Linked DNA regions of Notamacropus eugenii. The protein of the gene in region 1 interacts with the protein of each later gene in a pairwise test. Links are inferred from orthologs where the notes say so. Each region holds a gene or a part of one and is shown in the gene's direction. Other genes may lie near its edges.

Region 1 (10,218 bases):
TATAGATCAAGATGAATGAAGAAGGGTCCCCTCACCCTGGACTTTGATAATTTGGGGAGAGTGAGGCTGATGACTCAGTGCAACTCTGCCTCGATTATACAGCTCACATCCAAGTCAAGACATCACCCATGATTTCATTGGTCCTCTTCGAAGTCAAAGGATGAGCAACAACCAGGGACCCAGCCTGTGGTAGGCCTGCACTGTTAGTCTGTCTTCTGTATTGATAGTCTCTAAATCAATGCCCTCTGGTTGAAAGCCCAGAAGTCAAGAGTTACATTGATCATTTGAAATTCATTAAAGAGAAAATGTAGTCTTTGTTCAAGACGATAAAGGCACTGTGCTATATAGCTATAACTTCTCTAGTTTCTGTTGTTTTTTTAACCTATCAGACTTTACAATTATTTCTTCAGTTTCCAAACTGAGAGTTCATTTAACGCAATATGGATCAAAAACATGATATGATAGAAAAAAGTATCAAAGAAAAATATTAATACTGTACTATGTATTTTATTTTTTTCATATTTCATATTTTTTCCAGTTATATGTAAAAACAATTTTTAACATTCATCTTTTAAAAATCTGAGTTTCAAATTCTCTCCCTCCTTCTTTCTCTTCCTCCCTACTTCAGAAGGCAAGTAATTTGATATAGGTTGTACATGTGCTATCACACTAAACACATTTATGTAACAGTCATGTTGTAAGGGAAAATACAAACAAAAACAAAAAAAGTAAAGTAAAAAAAGTATTTTCAATCTGCATCCATCAGTTCTTTCTCCAGAGATGGACAGCATTTTTCATTACAAGTCCTTCAGAATTGCCTTGGATCAGTATTGCTAAGAATAGTTGTCATTCATAGTTGAGCATCATAATATTGCTGTTACTGTGTACAATTTTTTCCTGGTTCTGCTCATTTCATTTTGCATCAGTTCATGTAAATCTTTCCAGGTTTTTCTGAAAACATCCTGCTTATCATCTTTTATAGCACAATAGTATTTCACAATCATATACCACAACTTGTTCTGCCATTCTCCAACTGATGAGCATCCCCTTAATTTCCAATTTGTTGCTCCATAAAAAGAGCTGATATGATTTTTTTTTGCATTTAAATCCTTTTCCTTTTTGTTCTTCATCTCTTTGGGATGCAGACCTAGTAGTGGTATTGCTGGATCAAAGGATTTTATAGCCTTTTGGGCATAGCCCCAAATTGTTCTCCAGAATGGTTAAATCAGTTCTCAATTCTACCAACAATGCATTAGTGTCTCAATTTTCCCATATCCATTCCAACATGTTGTTTTCCTTTTTTGATAGGTGTGGAGCACCCCAGAGTTATTTCAATTTGCATTTCTGTAATCAATACAGATTTAGAGAATTTTTTTCATATGACTATAGATAGCTTTGATTACAGCCTCTGAAAACTGCCTATTCATATCCTTTGACCATTTATCAGTTGGGGAATGACTTGTATTCTTACAAATTTGCTTCACTTCTCTATACATTTGAGAAATGAGACCTTCATCAGAGACAACTGTAAAAAATTTTCAGTTATAATTACTGTGTATTTGCCTCCCCCACCCCCATTTACCATACTCTTTCTCTCCTTTCACTCTGCTCATCCTTGAAAGTGTTTTGCTTCAAGACTACTGCCTCCCCCAATCTGCTCTCCCTTCTATCAGCAGTACCTCACCCCCTTCTCTTATTCCCTTTCCCTCCTACTTTCCTGTAAGGTACAATAGATTTTTATACCCAGCTGAATGTGTATGTTATTCCCTCTTTCAGCCAATTCCAATGAAAGTAAGGTTAAAGCATTCCTCCCCATTTCCCCTATCTTCCTCTCCACTATAAAAGCTCCTTCTTACTTCTTTTTTTGAGGGAATATCCCCCCATTCTACCTCTCCCTTCCTCCTCCCAGTGCATTCTTTTTATTATCTTTTTATTTTATGTTTTTAGACATCATCTCATCTAAATTCATGCCCATGGCCTTTATGTACATTCCTTCTAATTGCCCCCAAAATGATAAAGTTCTTACGAGTTACAAGTATCATCTGCCCATGTAAGACTATAAACAGTTTAATCTTATTGAATCCCTTATGATTTCTCTTTTGCGTTTACCTTTTTATGTTTCTCTTGAGTCTTGTATTTAAAAGTCAAAATTTCTATTCAGCTCTAGTCTTTTTATCCTCTATTTCATTGAATACTCATTTTTCCTCCTGAAGGATTATAACTCCATGTTGCTCATAGTTTAATCTTGGCTCTAATTCTAGCTGCTTAGCCCTCCAGAATATCACATTCCAAGTTCTCTAATGTAATGTAATCTTCTGTTAGCCTGATTATGGCTCCACAATATTTGAATGGTTTCTTTCTGAGTGCTTGTAATATTTTCTCCTTGACCTGAGAGTTCTAGAATTTTGCTATGATATTTCTGGGAGTTTTCAATTTCATTTCATTTCACCTCTCAGGAGGTGATTCTATTTTACCCTTTGATTCTAGGATATTAGGGCAGTTTGATAATTTCTTGAAAGATGATGTCTAGGCTCTTTTTTTGATCATGGCTTTCAGTAACCCACCTTTGGGCAATGCAACAGAGTCCTTTACCCAATGCTAACAAAGGGATCTCTGTAATCTCCTTCTGACCTCCTTACCATCGGTGGGCTGAGAGCTCCAGAAGCCAAGTCCATTGCCCCCAGGTCTGTTGCTTCTTGCTGAGGGGTTCTGCCTTTGTTGGACTGATCTCCACTCTCATTCCAGTATACCAGACCTTTCCTGCTGACCTTTTAGGTTATCTTGGGCTAGAAAATTGTTTCACTCTATCTTTGTGGGTTCTGCCATTCAGAATTCATTCTGAGACATTATTTTACAGTTGTTTGAATGGGAATTTGGGAGAGGTCAGGCAGGTCTCTGCCTTTTTTCTACCATCTTGGCTCTACCCTCTCATTTCCATATATATTTTTATATATATTCAAATATTCTATTTATCTCTATATATACATATATATTTCTTCATATCTCTATATTTTCTGCATATATAGTATGTCAGGAATAATTTTATTTAACATTAAATACTAACAGTATACAAGTCATTTCTAAATTGAAGAGAGAAATATTCAAATTGGCATAGTTCCCCCACGTCCTTAAACAAGTCTCACTTCCCAGAAGAATTTAAGGAAACTTTTATAGGAATTTTGAACAAAGAAAATAAATTTTGGGTTAATATTCTATTTCAACAGATGGAACATAGTCAATTGATAACCACTTACATCTTTCTTTGACCACTCCCCTCAAGTATGTATAGTCCTATCCCATGACCTCCTCCCCAGATCCATATCATAATTCTTTTAAATGGATAATAGGGGCACTACCCTTAGGTGAATTACAGCCCAATTGCTTCTGAGGGTTGGGAAGCTCATAGGTAACCTCAATTAAAAGTTTGGTTTTCATTCTTAATCAATTACTTTTGAATAGGGAGAAGCTTAGAACGTTTTTTTAAGACAAGAGAAATATTTTTTCTTAATACAGTTGGTGAAACTGACAATAAGGCTTTTATGCTTCTACAAATGCTAATGTATTTCTGACTGTATTTAGAAATATACAATATCCATAAATAAAATGATGAACATGTTCTACTCTGCCACGATCAGATCACAACTACATCATTGTGTTCATTTTGGGGTGCCGCACTTGGGGAGGTATTATAAAAAGCTGAGAGTTTCAGAGAATGGTAACCAGGACTGTGAAGAGCTTAACATTCATGTGATGAATTAAATGAGTGAAAAAGGATTTAATAAACTTTGCATATGTCAAATATTGTTCTAGATATTTAAGAACATAAATATAATGAAGTACCTTAGTCCTACCCTCAAAGCGCTTAAGTTTGAGGAATGTTTCAGGATGGAAAAGTATTATTTCTTAATATTTTCAGGTGAGAAAAATATAATGGGAAGGTAGAAAGAGGGATGAGGTTAGATGCAGAGGTATAGTTTGGAAATGGCCAGAAAGTGGCATGATGGCCCGTTTTCTCGCAAAGTGAGTTAAAAGCTCGATACATGCCAATCTGCTGAGTGAACCTGTAATGGCTAACATGGAGATAAGGATGCTTGGCAAACATCATAGCTGTCTTTAGGTATCTGAAGATCTGTCACATGGTAGATGATTTGATTTGCCCTTTGGGGCAGAACTACAGGGAATGGGTAGGAGTTGTAATGCGGTAAACTTAGCCTTAATGTACAGAAAGACTTTCTAACAGAGATCACAAAGTGGAAGGGGTTGCTTTGGAATGAGTTGAAGAAAAATATTAATGACTATAATTTTGTTTTAGCCTCAAGTCTTTCAGAAAACAAATTTTATTCATTTAACATTATTCTAAATCCAGTCTATGCGTTAGAGAAAGAAATGACCAAATAAGTAAGCTCCCCAAACCCCATTCCTTTGGAAATCTGTCATCAGACAACTTGAGGTAACAGGAGTCTTGATTAAGGAAAAGGACACAAAAATATTAAAATACAATTTTGGTTTAGCATCCTACTGTATCAAATAGAACAATAGTCACTTAATAACAACCCATTTCCTTCCTTGACCCCTCAAGAGTTCTCCAGGAGTAAATAAAAGGAAACACCCTTTAATCAAAATCCTAATCCTTTCAAAATGGGAACACCAGTGATCTTAAACTGGCCAAGTCAATTTTTTTGTTGTCCTAAATTGGTTACCACATCTAATCCATTTACTAAGGCCTTAATTTGTAGGCTTCCCCTAAAAGGAAAAGTTTGAGAAGGGTTTTGGCTGGAAAATATTATTTTTTAATATTTTCAGCTGAACTAAAAAAAAGAGGTTTTTAATATGCTTCCACAGATGCAATCAGTTCCCTATCACTGGAGGTCCTTAGGCAGAGAGGCAGGATAACCACTTAATTGGATTTGTGGGAGGAATTCTTTCTGAGATACATGGTGAACTACATCAAAGGGACATTTCAACTCAGTTTCCAGTGATTTACAATTTTAGGAGTGATTGGCTTTTCAGAAAGTTTCTTCATAGGTCAGCTAAAGCAAGTCCTCGGTCCCCAAGCACCACTGAATCTGAAGGCAGAAAAACCCAGTTTGAATTAGAGGCCTACTAAACGCCATTTGACCTTGGCCAAGTCAATTAATTCTTCTTGGTCTCAGTTTCCTCATCAGTACCATAAAAATAATAATAACTGCACCATCTGCCTCCTAGATTGTTGTCAAGGGAACCATGCAAAGGAACATTTTAACCTAAAGCTATTTAAATCAAATCTTTTATTAGTCTAATGCTATGGAATTTTGTGATGCTGCGTTTATCCCCCTGGTTACCTCCTCTCCCCAATTCGGGCCGGTGGCTGCTGACAAGTCTCTTGGCAGACAGTAGTGGGTAAGGCCCAGTTCATCCTCATCACATGATTTCTGTTTTTCTTTCTTTCAGCAGTGAGGCCTTGCAACACTAGTGATTCTAAGAGGAGGGTGGGGAAAGGGCTGGAAACGAGGTTTGGAAGAGTCCACTAAAAGGGAAATTCTACTCCAGCACCTTAGCCTCTCTAAGCCAGGATTGCATTTTTCCTCATTCTCTATCCTTCTAAAGCCCTTAGTCACCTTGTTTATGTGGTTCCTCAGTCTAGTAATTTGCAGCTAACAAACAAAAACAATACATAGAAGTGCGCAGGCAGAATCCCTGGGTAAACTGAGAGGACCCTCAGAAGAAAGGCCGAGAGAACACTTAAAGATTTCTGTATCTGCCCCACACGTAGCAGGTCTTCCACTCCCACCTCCTCACCCCTCCACCCCTTACTTCACACCCCCAACCACAGCCAGCCACCCCAATGTGCTTAGAAAGGCTGGACTTTAATCTCTGGTAACTGCTCCTGGATTCAACCAAAAAAACCCCACGACGAAGTGGAGGGGGAGAAGTACGCATCTTTGGTACCTTGCCTTAAGACATTCCGTAACGAAAGAAACAAATAGCGTTTTAGACCATACGAGGTTTTGATTAAAAAGATTTGGTGAAGGATTTTTTTAAAAAGGAAAGTTAATATCGTGGGCTCATTTGAACAACATTTTCGTTGGCCCCCGGTTCGGAGTCAGCACCGGGACGGGTCTAGAACATTGTGAGGGAGGGAAGGGCGGAGCTTTGTGACGTCACAATACCAGGCTTGCTACTGTGTTGCCTGTGTGTTCCCGGCTCTTCCAAGAACGCTGCAGGATTTCCCCACCCCCACGCCGGCTCTTTCTCCACCTCCCAGCCCGGGCCAGCCGGGGCCTCAGTTCTGAGCGCTCTCCGCGGACTGGTGGAGCAGAGCGGGCAGGGCAGCAGAGGTTGGCACCGCTAAGGCTCTTCGTATTGTACTTCGACCGGGAAAAGACAGACTCGGCGAAACCATCCACTCCGCTTAAGCCAGGCCCCCCAGGGGAGATCGGAGACGCTGCGGAGCATCATGAAATTCCAATACAAGGAGGATCATCCTTTCGAGTACCGGAAAAAAGAAGGGGAGAAGATTCGGAAGAAATACCCTGACAGAGTCCCTGTGAGTGGTTTGGGGGCCTGGAGAAAGGGTGGGAGGAAAGGAAGAAGGAGGGGGAGGGGATGGGGACGCGACAGCTCTCTGACCTGAGGAGCAGGAAGGGTCCTTGGAAGACATTTCGTCTCCAATTCCCTAATAATGTAAACTGGATATCCCTACTGATGACATCCCGCACCCCACCGTTAGTAGCAGAGGCATAGGGGGCTTCTAAACTGAGCATCAGCAGAGAATGTGTGTTGTTGTGAGTCTGAGGAATGGGGGCAATGCACCATCACTGCCTTGATACGTGCGTGTTCGGAGATGAAGCCCAGTGACTCAGGAGTGCGCCAGGTGCGTTTGTGTAGGTGGTGCTTGTGTTCAAGATGCGGCGCTCTTGTGTGAGAATGGGTAGGATGGGGTCTTTTCTTGACTGCATGGAAGAACGCCAAGAGAAAGCTGTTGATCAGGGTGGCCACCATGGCGATGGCTCTGCGGCTTCGCCCTGTTTGTTTATGTCCTTTCAAGGGTTTATTCAGCTCTGGTTCCATCTTCGGGCTTCTAGACCTTTTGTCCTTGGAATTAATTGGGCGGGGGAAGAGAGACATGGGCTCCTTCCTCTCTTAAAAAAACACAAGACCGAACCGGCTTGGCAAACAGGGGCATAATATCTGCGCAGCAACCAGTTTGCTTCATCATCCTTGGCTTTAGAATTAACGCATGTTAGGGGGAGAACAGCTTTTTTCTGGTGACTGTTTTGCCTTTGACCAGACTGACTTGTCACAGAAAATGCAGGAGTTGGGGGTGGGGAGAGTTCTTCTTTCAGCTCTAATTTATCATATTTTCTGTCCCTAACACCCTGCTGCGCCACCCCCACCCCTTTCTCTGTGAGGGAACATGCTGCGCCTCTGTGAAAGTGGGACTGTTTGGATTTGGGGAAAAACAGGTTCATATGGAGGTAGGGTGGGGTAGAGGGAGCATAGACCATAGAGTTTGGGAGGTATGGGTGCAAAAACTAGAGGTATGGAGAGGAAACAAAAAGAATCAATGAAAAATGTTTTAGTGCTTTACCCAGGCCCTGCTCCCTGCAGAATAATTGAGGCCTTATTGATTGACATTACTGCTGCAAAATTTAGAAGTCAGTTAATCCAGGATGGAGATCTGGAAGTAAAGATAATGGGGATATGAGGCATTTATTTTTATAGCTTTTGAGTTCCTAATGTAACAGCTGAGACCTTCTTAAGACTGACGTTTCTCCAAGCAGACTAGTTGAGGTAGGTTTGGAAACAAGGTAGGCCATCTTGCCACATCTGGATCCAGTTATAGAATGTCAGTCACCCTCTCAAAGGAGACTAAGGAGGTCCCCTTTCCAGTCACCTCCCACATCTCCTGCAGGACTCACTGGTTAGTATTTGGTTAGAGGGAAAAGATGACTGAGTAAACAAGTTCTCTTCTTGACTTCTTTGAAGCATGTGACATTGACTGTCCATCCCTTTCTGGAATTTTGTGACACTATTTTTGGCTTTTGTTTTATTATTGATTCTCCTGCCTTATCCACTCTCCACTTATCCCCTCCTGCATGTCTCCTAACTTCTACACCATGCTCTTTAACTTCTCTATACATTCTCTTATGCTACTGGGGATACAAAGGCAAGTGATATAACCTTTGCCATCAAGGGAGACAACATAAATAAGTATACAAAATAAAATCAGTGGGGGGAATGACACTACCAGTTGTGGAAATCAGGAAATGCTTCCTATTGAAGGTGGAAATTCAGCAGAATTTTGAAGGAACATTTTATAAGACTGACCAGGTGAGATGGGAGTGCATTCCAGGCATGAGGGACAACCAATGCAATGACATGGATTTAGGAGACATAGTTTCTTGTGGGAGAAATAGCAGTTTGACTAGACTTTCCTTTAGCCTGTATCAAAGGAAGTCTTGATTTATTGATGACCTCAGTGGCCTCAGGCAAGTCATTTAGCCCTGTTTGCCTCAGTTTTCTCCTCTGTACAGTGAACTGAAGAAGGAAATGGCATACTGCTCCAGTATCTTTGCCAAGAAAACTCCAAATGGAGTCACAAAGAGTCGTACATGATTGAAAAAATGACTGAACACATGGTGACTCCCAGATCTCATAAAGTCTGAATCTCTCTTGATCTCCAGTTCTCCATCACAAACTGTACTGTCTCTTTGATATTTCAAACTAAATATGTCCAAAATGTCTTCCTTTGTCTTCCAAACCCACCCCTGTTCCTTCCAAATTTCTCCCAATCTAAAGGACGCCATCTTTTCAGCTATTTTATTGTTGTTCAATCTCATCTGACTCTTTCCCTGACCCCATTTGGGATTTTCTGGGCAGAAATACTGAATTGGTTTGCCATTTCCTTCTTGGAGGAAACTGAGTCAAACAGGGTTAAAGTAACTTGCCTGGGGTCACACAACTAACTATTGGTGTCTTAGGCCTGATTTGAACTCAGAAAGGGTGAGTCTTCCTAACTCTAAGCCCAGTACAGTTGCTATCCAACTACCCATCTTTTTAGTCAACCCAGGTTCATAACCTTGAATCTTCCCCTTTCCCTCACCCCCCTATCCATTCTGTCATTATCTTTCATGCTTATTGGCCTTCTACAATACCTTTTTCATCTGCCATCTCTCCATCCTAGTTCGTAACAGTATCAGCTCTTGCCTGGATTTGAATAGCCTTGAAATTGGTCTTCCTACCTCTAGTTTCTCTTCACTTCACACTGGAATCCAAGTGATTTTTTTTTAAAGTTTGGATCATGTCATTTCAGTCACTCTGGTGGTTCCTATTATAACTCCAGAATCATATCCATGGATGGGGAACCTGTGGCCTCCAGGTCACATGTGGCTTTCTAGGTCCTCAAATGTTGTGCTTTGACTGAATCCAAACTTCACAAAACAGATCCCCTAAATAAAAGGATCTGTTCTGTAAAACTTGGACTATGTCAAAAGGACGCATCCAAGGACTTACAGGGCCTCAGGTACCACACCCCTGATATATCTTAAATAACAACTTTGCCGAAATCGACCTTTCCAGCATTATTATACAGTACTCCCCTTCCGATATGCTAGTCTAGTCAGACTTACTTCCTTACACATAATTCCATTTATTTACCTTCTGCTTTGTTTACTGGTCGTCCCCATTGCCAGACCTCTTTGGCTCCAAGGTCATGCATAAGGGCCAAATTTTAAATGAGGCCTTTTCCAGTCCCCCCCAGCTGTTAGCAGTGTTAAACCCCTTGCCATCATCTTGTATCTATTTTTGTGCGCACGTGCATGCACACACACACACACACACACACATACGTATACACACATATATACACACACATGGTCTCCCTTCCTCCTTCCTCCCCCCTCCCTCCCTCTCCCCCCAATAGTAGGTAAGCTCCCTGAGGGGCAGTGTCTTGTTTTAACTTTTCTTTTGCTATTCCCAATGTTGAACCCAATGCCTTCACACTTACTAGGCCCTAAGTACATGCTCCTGAAATTGATTGATTAATCATTTTGCCCTCTCTGCCTTAAGCTGATATAATAGAGTACTCATTCAGGTTTTCAGGACTCACCTAATCAGTGTTGGACTTCATAGTTTGTTATCTCTCAAAAGAAAGGGTTGGGCTGGGTGACCTAAGGGCCTTTCTAGCTTTAAACTTATGAATCCCCTCATTTTACTGATGAGGAAACTGAGGCTCCA
Region 2 (10,086 bases), on another chromosome or scaffold:
AGAAAGAAGGTTCAGAGGGTAACAGATAAGTGAAACAGTTTTGGAATGCACATGCTGAATGAGTATGTACTTTAAAAGAAAAGTTGTACGTAGTAAGATTTTTGTTCTCATATAATCTTCTTAAGATGTTCATGTTTCTTATTTGTCAAGTGCAGAATAACTGTTATTAATTATATTAATAAAGCATGGATTTATTAAACACTATGTACAAGGTTTTGGAATGAAAAGAAAAAATGAAACAATCTCTGCTGTCTTTTATTGGGAGAAACAACATGTATGTAAAGAAGTATATGCAAAATATGTACAACGTAAATCTGGGGGTGAGAGAAACAGTATGAGTATTGGAGGGCCTAGGAAAGGCTGCATGTTAGAAAGTGGTGCTTGAGCAGAGTTTGGAAGGAAATGAGATTTTTAAAAAAAATATTTAATATTTTTTATTTTTCAAGTATCAAGTTTTAAAAGTTAATCTTTTTCTCCTACTACTCTCCCACTGAGAAAATTAAAAAAAAAAACCCCAGATTCCCTCAGTTCATAGCCATATAACCTACAAAACAGATGCCCACATTAGCCATGTCTGAAAACGTATGTCATTTTCTGCATTTTAAGTTCATTATTTCTCTATCAGAATGTGATGAACTTATGGTTTATCATTGAATTAATGCTGTTAATTGGAATTCTTAAGGTTTTCAAAGTTGTTTTCTCTATGATGTCATTGGATAAACTGTTCTCCTATTTCCGTTCACTTCTATCTGCATCGTTTCATAAAGATCTCCCTAGGTTCTTCTGAAATTGTTTATTTCATCATTTCTTATGGCATGGTGATATTTCATTTTATCCATATAGTTCAATTTGTTTAACCATTCCCCTGCATGGTTTCCTTAGTCCCCTAGTTTCCAATTTTTTGGCTATCCTGTAAAAAATTGCTATAATTATTTCTGCACATGTAGATACTTTTCCTCTTTCTTTGATTTCTTTGGTTTATAGGCCTAATAGTGAAAAAGCCAAGTCAGAAGGCATACATTTTAATAACATATTGGACATGGTTCCAAATTTCTATAAGATGAGATTCTAAAAGATAGGAGCGAAAGTGAGAAGTCTCCTGGCACTGGCAAGATGCCAAGGTGGGAGATGGGGTGCCCTATGTGAAGGACAAGTAGAGAATCATGGAGTACAGGAAAGGGATATGTAGACTGAGACTGGAAAGGTACACTGGGTCTTGGTTGCAAAGGGATTGAAAAACTCAGCAGAGAGGTTTATGTCTGATCCTAGAGGCGATGGGAACCATTGGAGTTTGCGAAGTAAAGAAGTAACATGGTCACACCTGTACTTCAGGAAAATTAGTTTGTCAGCTATGTGGAGGAATAATTGATGAGGGAGAAGAGATAAGATAGGAAAGTGAATCAGGAGGTACTTACACTTACAAAAGCAGTGAAAGGGGCAGATCTGGGTTTCAGACTAGTCATTTGCAGCCAAAAATCCAAAACAGAACACCTCATGTTACATTAAGAGACAGGTAGTATCCTTAACCTGCAATTTCCACTCCCTGTCTTCTATTGGTCTCCGATCTCTCCTCCCTAGATCATATCTTGGACCTCTCTACTTTGCCCTCCCCAGAGGGGCCATTTCCACCCCTCACTTTTTCCATACTCTGGACAGTCTTGTTTTTCCCAGAACACTCATTCCTAGAAACCTTCCCTTTCCCAGTGTTGGCCATTCTGTCTCTCAAGCCAAGTGACACACAGCAGCAGAAAAAGGAGCTATATGCTCTCTTGCCCCACACTATTATCTATCATTTTAATTCAGCAGCCTGTTCTTTGATGTATACTCCATCTCTGTCACTGTTCAGATAACTGTTGTGACCTCTGATTAGCTTTCAGGTCACTCTCTGTCCTTTCTCATAGAGTTCAGTGTTTCAGTCTTCTAGTCTACCATAACTCCTGGATTCATCTGTAATACCTTCTGTATCTACCCTGATGTAGCGGATGATGCAACTGCAGCTGATGACCCACCTTTCAGGGAGCTGGAGAAAGACTTTGCCAGTAATGCAAAACACTATAGCTGGGGACAGGGGCAGGCAGGGACCAGGAAATCTCTCTTCAAGAGAGTTTTAGGCTCCAATTGCCTCTATTTGTAACATCCAGTATCTATAGTATCTAAGGGTATAATATGTTCAAAAGAATACCCTGGCAGATTAGCCCCACCCTCCCAAATATGATTTATACAAAAGATCATCACAAAGAGCTAATAATGAATACATTTATCCAAACAATAAAGCATACATAAATTAGAGAAGTTCTACAGATTATAGTGTACAGGAAATACACAAGAATAAAGGAACATTAATTCCTTCTTCAGCTGAAATTTTAAAAATGATCTCAGCTCAAGTCAGGAGAACAATCCCACACAGGAAAGGTCTTCTCTCGGCAGTCTCTAGAATTACAGGCCCAGGAGTTGAGAAGAGCTGGTTTCTTCACGTCTGCCACTTAGAAAACTATAGTCTGGCATTTGGAAGCTTTTTCTCAGTTGCTTTCCAAGATCTCTGAAGAATCTCAATAACCGATTGAATTAAGTCCCTTGTTGTCATTTGTCCTTTAGTAGTGGACCATGACTTTAAGGAAGTGATGCTATGCCATGTGAGTGAATTGGATTTAAGTCAGTGACCAGCAAAGTGATCAGCCTGACTTTCTCCACCAGTGCTGAGTCCAGTGGTAAGGTACAGATCAGGATGACTGGAGGTGGCGCTGGATACGATGGGAGACTTTGGCCTTTTTAAATTAAGGTCTTAAAGCCCATAAGAAGTCATCAGGCTCAGCCCTCAAAAGTCAAATCAGAAGCCAAAAAAAGCTGAAGACAAAACTGCCCCAGGCTTGGGTGGAATCTGACTTACACTTCTGATATGCATGCTTAAGTCATCCCCCATTCCTGGAAAGAGCCTTCTTAATCACTCTGTTTTCCAACCTTAGTTGTTTTTTTCTTCAAGGTTCAGCTCCAGGCCTGACTCCTCCATTGGAACTTCCCAATTTTTTTCCCTTCTCCTCACCAAGTTGGTAGTAGTCTCTTCATCCTCAACTGATTTGGTTTATTCCTCCAAAAGAATGTAAATTTCTTGCAGTTGGGCATTCTTGCTTTTGTTTTGTATCTACATCTGGCATGGTAACCTTGTACATGCTGGGCATCTAATGTCTAACTGAAGTGTATGAGGAAATAATAGTTCTGCTATACTTTATCCTAATAAAGGCTACATCTGCACTAGGAAAGCTATAGAGGTAATCACTGATCTGTGACCCCCCAAAAGAGTCTAGATTCCTTCAGAGTGGGTCTGACAATGGGAGCTTAATGTTTAAATCACTAATTTCCCTTCTTTTAATTTTAGTCGCTGAATTGATAATTTATGGACCTACAAAATTATGAAATGGGAGTAGGCAAGCTCTCAGTTCTCTGGGTACTTGCCAAGAAAGTCCATGACTGGCAACAGGAAACGGGGCAGCAAACACACTTTATTAAGGCACAGACAAGCACTGAAAAGTGGGGAGGGATACAGAGGGAATGGATGGGGAAGGGGATGAGGAAGAGTATGGACCCGAGTTGGGAGCACTGGGCAGCATGGTCTGGTGGAGTCTCACTTTGATGGGGTTTGGGGGAGGCCAGGCCAGAGCCTTGGAGGGGGTTCATTAACATCCAGAGCGTCTCAAAGTTACCTGTACAACTTCAAAGTCAGCATGTCCGCTTCATCAAGCTTATCACCGTCTTTCTGATGTTCTGCTGGTCTGGAGCAGTGGAAGTCTGGATTTGGTCTAGAACTGACCTATCCTAGGACTAGAACCCTTGCCCGTACGGTTTCCCCTGATTCAGCATATATTACAAATGTATATTGTAACTTGTGCTCCTTCGACCTTTGGAAGAATACACAAGGGAGAAGGCAAGTGTACCCTCAGACTGGGGAGCGTTCTGAGGAGCTTGTTTGGCCGGCTTCTACCGGCTTCTACGTGTTTAGGATGAAGGCCATCTTTTGTTTGTTCGTCGTTCAGCTGGCAGAGCGGGCGCAGCGAGGGAGAGACGTTATAAATAGAATATTTTTGGAAGGCCCCCGGAGTCGTTCTCGCCTGCCCTCCCTCCTTTCCACTTGCTTCACTTCCCCGGTTTTGATGCCCTTCCCTCGGCTGAAGACCCCCCTCAGAGCTCTTCCATCCTCTGGGGCCCGGATGCCAGATGACTGCGCAGCCCCCGCCGGCAATGCCCACGCGGTCTCCGAGCCCCCTGGCACTCCCAGGACACGGCCCCTCCCACGGCCCCTCAGCAGCCACAAGCCTCCCCCCACCTGCCGGCCCGGCTCGGACCCAGCCGGAGGCTGAGCTCGGCCCTTGGGGAGGGCTTTCCCTGCACGTCCCGCTCCTTCCCCCTCGCAGCGCCTGAACCTGCTCTTTTCTTTCCAGTCTTCTCGTTCCTTCTCCCACCACGTCCGGCACGAGTTCTTCTCCCAGGGGGTGGATTGAGACCGGCCCGGAGGAGGGAGGAGGGAGGGGAGAGGGAGGAGGGAGAAGAGAGAAGAGAGGGGGGGAGGAGGAAGGAGGGGGGAGGGAGGAGGGAGAAGGGAGGGGGGAGGACGGAGGAGGGAGGAGGGAGGAGGGAGAAGGGAGGGGGGGAGGAGGGAGGAGGGAGAAGGGAGGGGGGGAGGAGGGAGGGAGGAGGAGGGAGAAGGGAGGGGGGAGGAGGGAGGAGGGAGAAGGGAGGGGGGAGGAGGGAGGAGGGAGGAGGGAGAAGGGAGGGGGGAGGAGGGAGGGGAAAGGGAGGAGGGAGGAGGGAGAAGGGGGGAGGAGGGAGAAGGGGGGGAGGAGGGAGGAGGGAGAAGAGAGGGGGGGAGGAGGAAGGGGAGAGGGAGGAGGGAGAAGAGAGGCGGGGAGGAGGGAGGGGAGAGGGAGGAGGGGGGAGGGGGGCACCTCAGCGGACCGAGAAGGAGAAAACAAGCGGCCGGGCGTTTACGGAACCAAGGTTCGGCCTGAAGAAACCGAGCTCCATTTCTTACACTACCCAGAAAAGTCATTCAAAACCAAAGCCGTGTGAAACCGGAGCGGGCGGTGCCGGTCTGCTGGCTGGGCGACGGGTCGAGCGCCTCGGTGGCGGGACATTCACGTAGCGCGAAGACCAGATGGCACCGGACCCCGAGTCTGAAGCGACGGAGCCCGGGGGGGTGGGGGTGGAGGGCGCGTCCACCTGTGGCCCTAAGGCCAAGGCGTCCCCTGTCCCCGGGTCCCTGAGGGGCCTCTGCCCAACCAAGGGTCGCAAAGCTGGGGGAGCAGAGTCCGGTCGTGGTTCGATTTCAATTCAAATTCAACGACTTCTGTTGCATAAAGCCAGGCAGCTTCGTTCTCACGGCCCCCCCTCGGCCGTGGCCAGGGTTCCCCGAGCACCGGAAGCCGCGGGCCCGGCTGCGCAGGCTGGGGCGGACCCGGGAGCCGCCGGGGACCTGACGGTCACGGGTTCTGCCCTCGGCCCCAAGGGCGCTCCTCCGGGGACTTTCGGAAATGGCTTTTTTGTTCCGGACAGGTGAACGTGCGCTGGCCGGAGTCACGTCCGGGCCGCTCACCTTCGGGGGGCTCAGTCTCCGTCTCTGTAAAAGTCAATGGACCGAGCGCAGAAGCGCGCGCGGGCGGGGCCGGGACCGGGGAGCCCAGGCCCCCTTGGCGGGGATAAGGGCCCGCCTGGGCGGGGGAGTGGGCGTGCGAGAGGGGCCGGACCAGGCCGGACCAGTCCTCGGGCAAGGAAGGGCCCACGTTCGTCCGGCCGAGACCCCGCAGCGTGGGGCTTCCAGGCGACTCGGGACTTTAAAAATGGATTCACTGTATTTATTTGAATCTATCCAGTATCTAGAAAAGGCCTGGGAACCTAACTTACTACCGAGGGGCGGGGGAGCAGAGGCCTCGCCCTCAGGTCCGGGCTCACCTGTCGAATGCTCCGCCTGGCCAGGTCCGGCGGAACTCGCGCTGCTAGGAATCGCCTACGAAAGTCTGCCCGAACCCATCATGGCGGCCAAAGCATCAGTCCTTCGCCAGGGAAACTTGAGTCCCGGCAGAGGAACCAATCGGAGTGCAGGAGATGCGCGGCGCACCGCCCCCTTCCCGTACGACGTGAAACGGAGTGGCCGGGCAGCCATTTTGGATTCGGGCGGAAGTGGAACCCGAGCTCGGTGGTAAGGCTTAGAAGTACTAGAAGGAAAAGCTTCCCGAGATAGCTTTTGGGGCGGAGGCCTGACCAAGAGTGACTGTCTCCGCCGGCTACGGTGAGGGACAGCGCTCGGCGCCACGGTCCGAGGGCTGGCGCCGCTCTAGTGCGGTCCCGGGCGCAGCCGCCTCTCTGGTGGAGTCGGAGGGACGGAGGCTGGCGTTCTGTCCCGTTTCCGGGGGCGTCTCTATGGTGTCGGCTGGACCGAACCCCGGTCAGTGGGCGCAGGGGCCGCAGCCTGGCGGGGCCGGGAGAAGGTCAGGGGTCATAGGGGTCGCTGGTAGTGAAGCGGATCCCGCCCGGAGCCGACACCCTCCGCTTCTCGGCGCTGCCGCCCTCGCAGGTGAGAGGCCTGCCCTCCGCCGCCTCTGGGAGTGCAGGTCGGGGTCTGGGGGCCGCCCGGGCCGAGCCGGAGCGCGTGCCCCGGAGGCTCGGGGCGCGCGTGACGGGCCCGGGTCGGCTGTCGGGGTCCGGGCCAGGCGGGCGCCCGCAGGCTAGTGCTCCGCCGGGCGGGCGGGTCCGAAAGTTGGTGCGCGGTCATCGCGGGTCCGGGCCCCGCCGGGCGCCCCCTCGCCGGTCCGCAGTCTTTTCTGCCGGGCCGTCTGGGGGGAGGGGGAGTGTTCGTAAAAGGAGAAAGAGCGAGGGCATGGAGGTCCGCGTGCCCAGCCCGCCCGGCCTTTCCCGAAACCCGGGGGCAGGCGGTGCGGGGAGCGCGCCGTGGGAAAGTTGGGGCCGAAGTGGCCTTCGCCCCCTGGACAAGGACGTGGCAAAGGAGTCCCCCGGCCTGCGTAGGCAGCGCCGGCCTGTGCCCGGCGGGCCGCACCAGCCGCGGACCCCGAGTCCGTGCCCGGGGTGGGGCCGTAGGTGGAGCGGACACGTGGTTGACAGGACCGTGACGTCCGGTAAAAGCGTTCTCTTGTACTCCTGCCGCGCTCGGAGCCCTCCCACCTGTGACTTGGGCTCAAGCGTCTCCCTAAGAGTTCGTCTGCGCCCCTGCCTCTGCTTCAGCCCAGGCCGTCTGGTCAGGTCCGCCCGGCGCTGCCCAGAGAGCTGACCCTGCTGGGACCGCGGCCCGCACAGAGCAGCTGGAACTCGGGTTTCTGCTTCAGGACAAGATTCCAGAATTCGTGTAGCCCTTCAGGGTTGGCACGGTGCTGTGTCCTTACAGCAGTCCTGGGAAGGAGGGGTTAACGTTACCCTCGTCTTACGGATGAGGAAGCTGAGGCCCGTGAGGCCAGGCAGAATTTAAGTCCTGGTCTCCCGAGTCCCGGTGCGGCGCTCAGTAGGGTGCCGGAATCGTTGTCGAGTTTGTTTCCTTGGTTGTCACGGGCGTCCTCCCCGCTTGTCAGTTTCACGGCGGGTTGTTACTGAGGCCAAGCATGGAAACGTAAAATCTGATCTTTGGAGGGAGCTGGTCTGCCTGCCTGCCTTTGAGCTAGTAAACTTCGTTGTGTTTGCTTTCCTTTCTGGAACAGCGAGAGAACTCTGAAGTCTCAAGGGAATTTGCCTAGATCTAGTCAGTAACCTTGCCCTTTACCCTCTCATACCCTGAACCCGGATGGCGCAGTTTTCGTTAACATCATCCAGACATCTCTCTAGACGGATACTTGTAGTATGCAAAGGATTGCAATCATTGATTTTAGATATTTGTAGATAACGTAGCTGGTTTTTTTCCAACTATGGTAACAAATAGTTTTCTTTGAAAACAGTATTCACAACTAGCTATAGAAAAGATTCCTCTTAGCATCACCTGAGCTAGGATGTTTTCCTCAGACTACTGACATTAATGCTGGTGGACCTGGCAAAATGAGTGTGGCTCTTGCTATCAGGCAGTGAGCTCCAGGAAATGTTTGTTGATTGATTAGCATCTGGTCCTGTCACCTATCAGATTTTCCTTAGAGCATGTGTGAATCCATCATTTGGACATTCCCTTAATTGGTATAGAGGAAACTGTCTGCCCCTGTTCTCTAAGTTGTACGCACAGGGGGAGGTGCTTCCCTCTTTAATGGCCTTCTTTACTAAGCTTCTCGGTAATTCCTTATTTTTAACGTTTTGCAGCCTTCATATACCTCTCCTTTGACATTTTAGCAATATTCATTTTCATTCTCATGTCTCTCACAACCATAGAATAGAATAGAAGAATATTAGTATTAACAAGATGAGCCTTAGGTACACAGAGAAGCTCAGGGTCCTTAAAAGTCAAGTCAGCAAGTTCTTATTTATTCAGTCATTCATTCGTAAATTTATTTATTTATGCCAAAAACAGTTTCTGCTCTCAAGGAGCTCACAGCCTAGGGAAACATCATGCAACAGTTATGTACAAACAAATTATAGGAGAAAGAAAAAATCCCATAGTGAAGGCATTAGCAGTAAGGGGCATATATGTGTGAGTACAGTTCTGTAAAGACAAAATAAATATCTCCTGAGAAATGTGGACTTCTTTAAAATACATATTTTTTTTTTTACCTTAAGAGAAATTCCAAAGGGTCTTGTACATAAAACATCTTGCTTTTCAAAGACATCATTTTGTTTTTGCTGTGCCTATCTAAAACTTTGTTAGACTGATTGCTAAGAATCATACACAAAGAGTAACACATGAAATCAATGATTATAGTTACTTGAGTAGCTGAGTATATTTCGCATAGTGCCTTATGGCTTACAAAGAGCTTTACATACACATTCCCAATTTTATTCTCATAGAAACCCGTGAGATAGTGGAAATATGCAACAGGTTGGATAGGACTTCTAGGTACCTTCTCTCAGGACATATAATTGCAGCAGATGGACACCGTTGGAAGAGGAAGCTTCCAAATTGGTGAGCTCACACATCCATTTGAGAATTGATGAGGGAGACTGAGGCTCAGAGGTTGTTTAAGGCCTGTATATGACATTGTCTCTGTGCTTTTGAATAGGTTGTCCCTGATAGAGGGAATGGACTCCTTGACCACCTTGTAGAATCACTGTTCTCAGTCAGTCGGCTATGTCCTCTGCTAGGTACTGGGAACAGTCTGTCACAAAGAGCTTACGTTGTAACAGGGGACAGTGCAAGTTGGAGATATCAGGTACTAACAATTGAGGGGATGGGTAGAAAGTGGTGCTTGAGGGACTTCTTGAAGAGAGAAATTCTTTATAGCAGAGGTGAAGAGGGGAGTGCATCCCAAATATAAGGGAGTAGGAGTACAAAGCTCTGGGAAATGAGGAGGAGGAAGCCAGTTTGGCTGGATCACCAACTGTGGGAAAGGCAGTCATATCCAACAAGGAGGGAAAGACAAGCTGGGCAAGGTTTTGAAGGACTTTAAAAGGTAAGCAGAGGTGTTTATATTTGATTCTAGAGGAAAGAGAGTTATTGAGTGGGGCAGTGATATGGTCAGATCTGCATTTTAAAGAAAGCACTTAGGCAGCCATATGCAGGATGGACTGAAGTAGAGAACTGAAGCTGTTGTAGTGATGAGAGTCTGAACTACAGTGTCAGAAGTAAAATGTTGTGGAGATAGAGACCACAACGTCTAACAAATGATTGGGTAGGAGACTTGGAAAAAGAGCTGGGGATAATGTCTAAGTTGAAAGACTGAAAAATAAATGACTGTACCTTTGACTGAAATAGGGAAGTTTGGGGAAGGAGTAGATTGGGATAGAGATAAAAAGTTATGTTTGGGATATGTTGAGTTTGGGATATATCTCTGGAATACCCAGTTTGAAATGTTTAATAGTCTGTTGATGATGGCAGTACAGGGGGAAGACTGAGGCCAGTAGGCACTGGCATTGGCATAGAGATGATGATTAAAGCCTTGTATCTGAGGTCTCTCTTGAATTCTCTTCCCCCTTAGCCTTTTAGTGCCTTCCTCTTCCACACCACTTTGTGTACAC

What was found.
Region 2: the proteins of GABARAPL1 (region 1) and SCYL3 interact in binary tests that used the Homo sapiens proteins (3 or more experiments, as listed by UniProt). The two-hybrid records come from large-scale screens. The link is inferred for Notamacropus eugenii from reciprocal best matches to the Homo sapiens genes GABARAPL1 and SCYL3.

Annotation. Positions count from the first base shown.
Region 1 is NC_092874.1:200,018,844-200,029,061, reverse strand, and holds the start of GABARAPL1 (gamma-aminobutyric acid receptor-associated protein-like 1), read left to right. Parts: upstream 1-5,744; 5' UTR 5,745-6,436; coding exon 6,437-6,526; intron 6,527-10,218. UniProt on the Homo sapiens protein: Ubiquitin-like modifier that increases cell-surface expression of kappa-type opioid receptor through facilitating anterograde intracellular trafficking of the receptor. Involved in formation of autophagosomal vacuoles.
Region 2 is NC_092873.1:476,482,555-476,492,640, forward strand, and holds the start of SCYL3 (protein-associating with the carboxyl-terminal domain of ezrin), read left to right. Parts: upstream 1-5,862; 5' UTR 5,863-5,947; coding exon 5,948-6,187; intron 6,188-6,208; exon of another isoform or gene 6,209-6,277; intron 6,278-6,434; exon of another isoform or gene 6,435-6,562; intron 6,563-10,086. UniProt on the Homo sapiens protein: May play a role in regulating cell adhesion/migration complexes in migrating cells.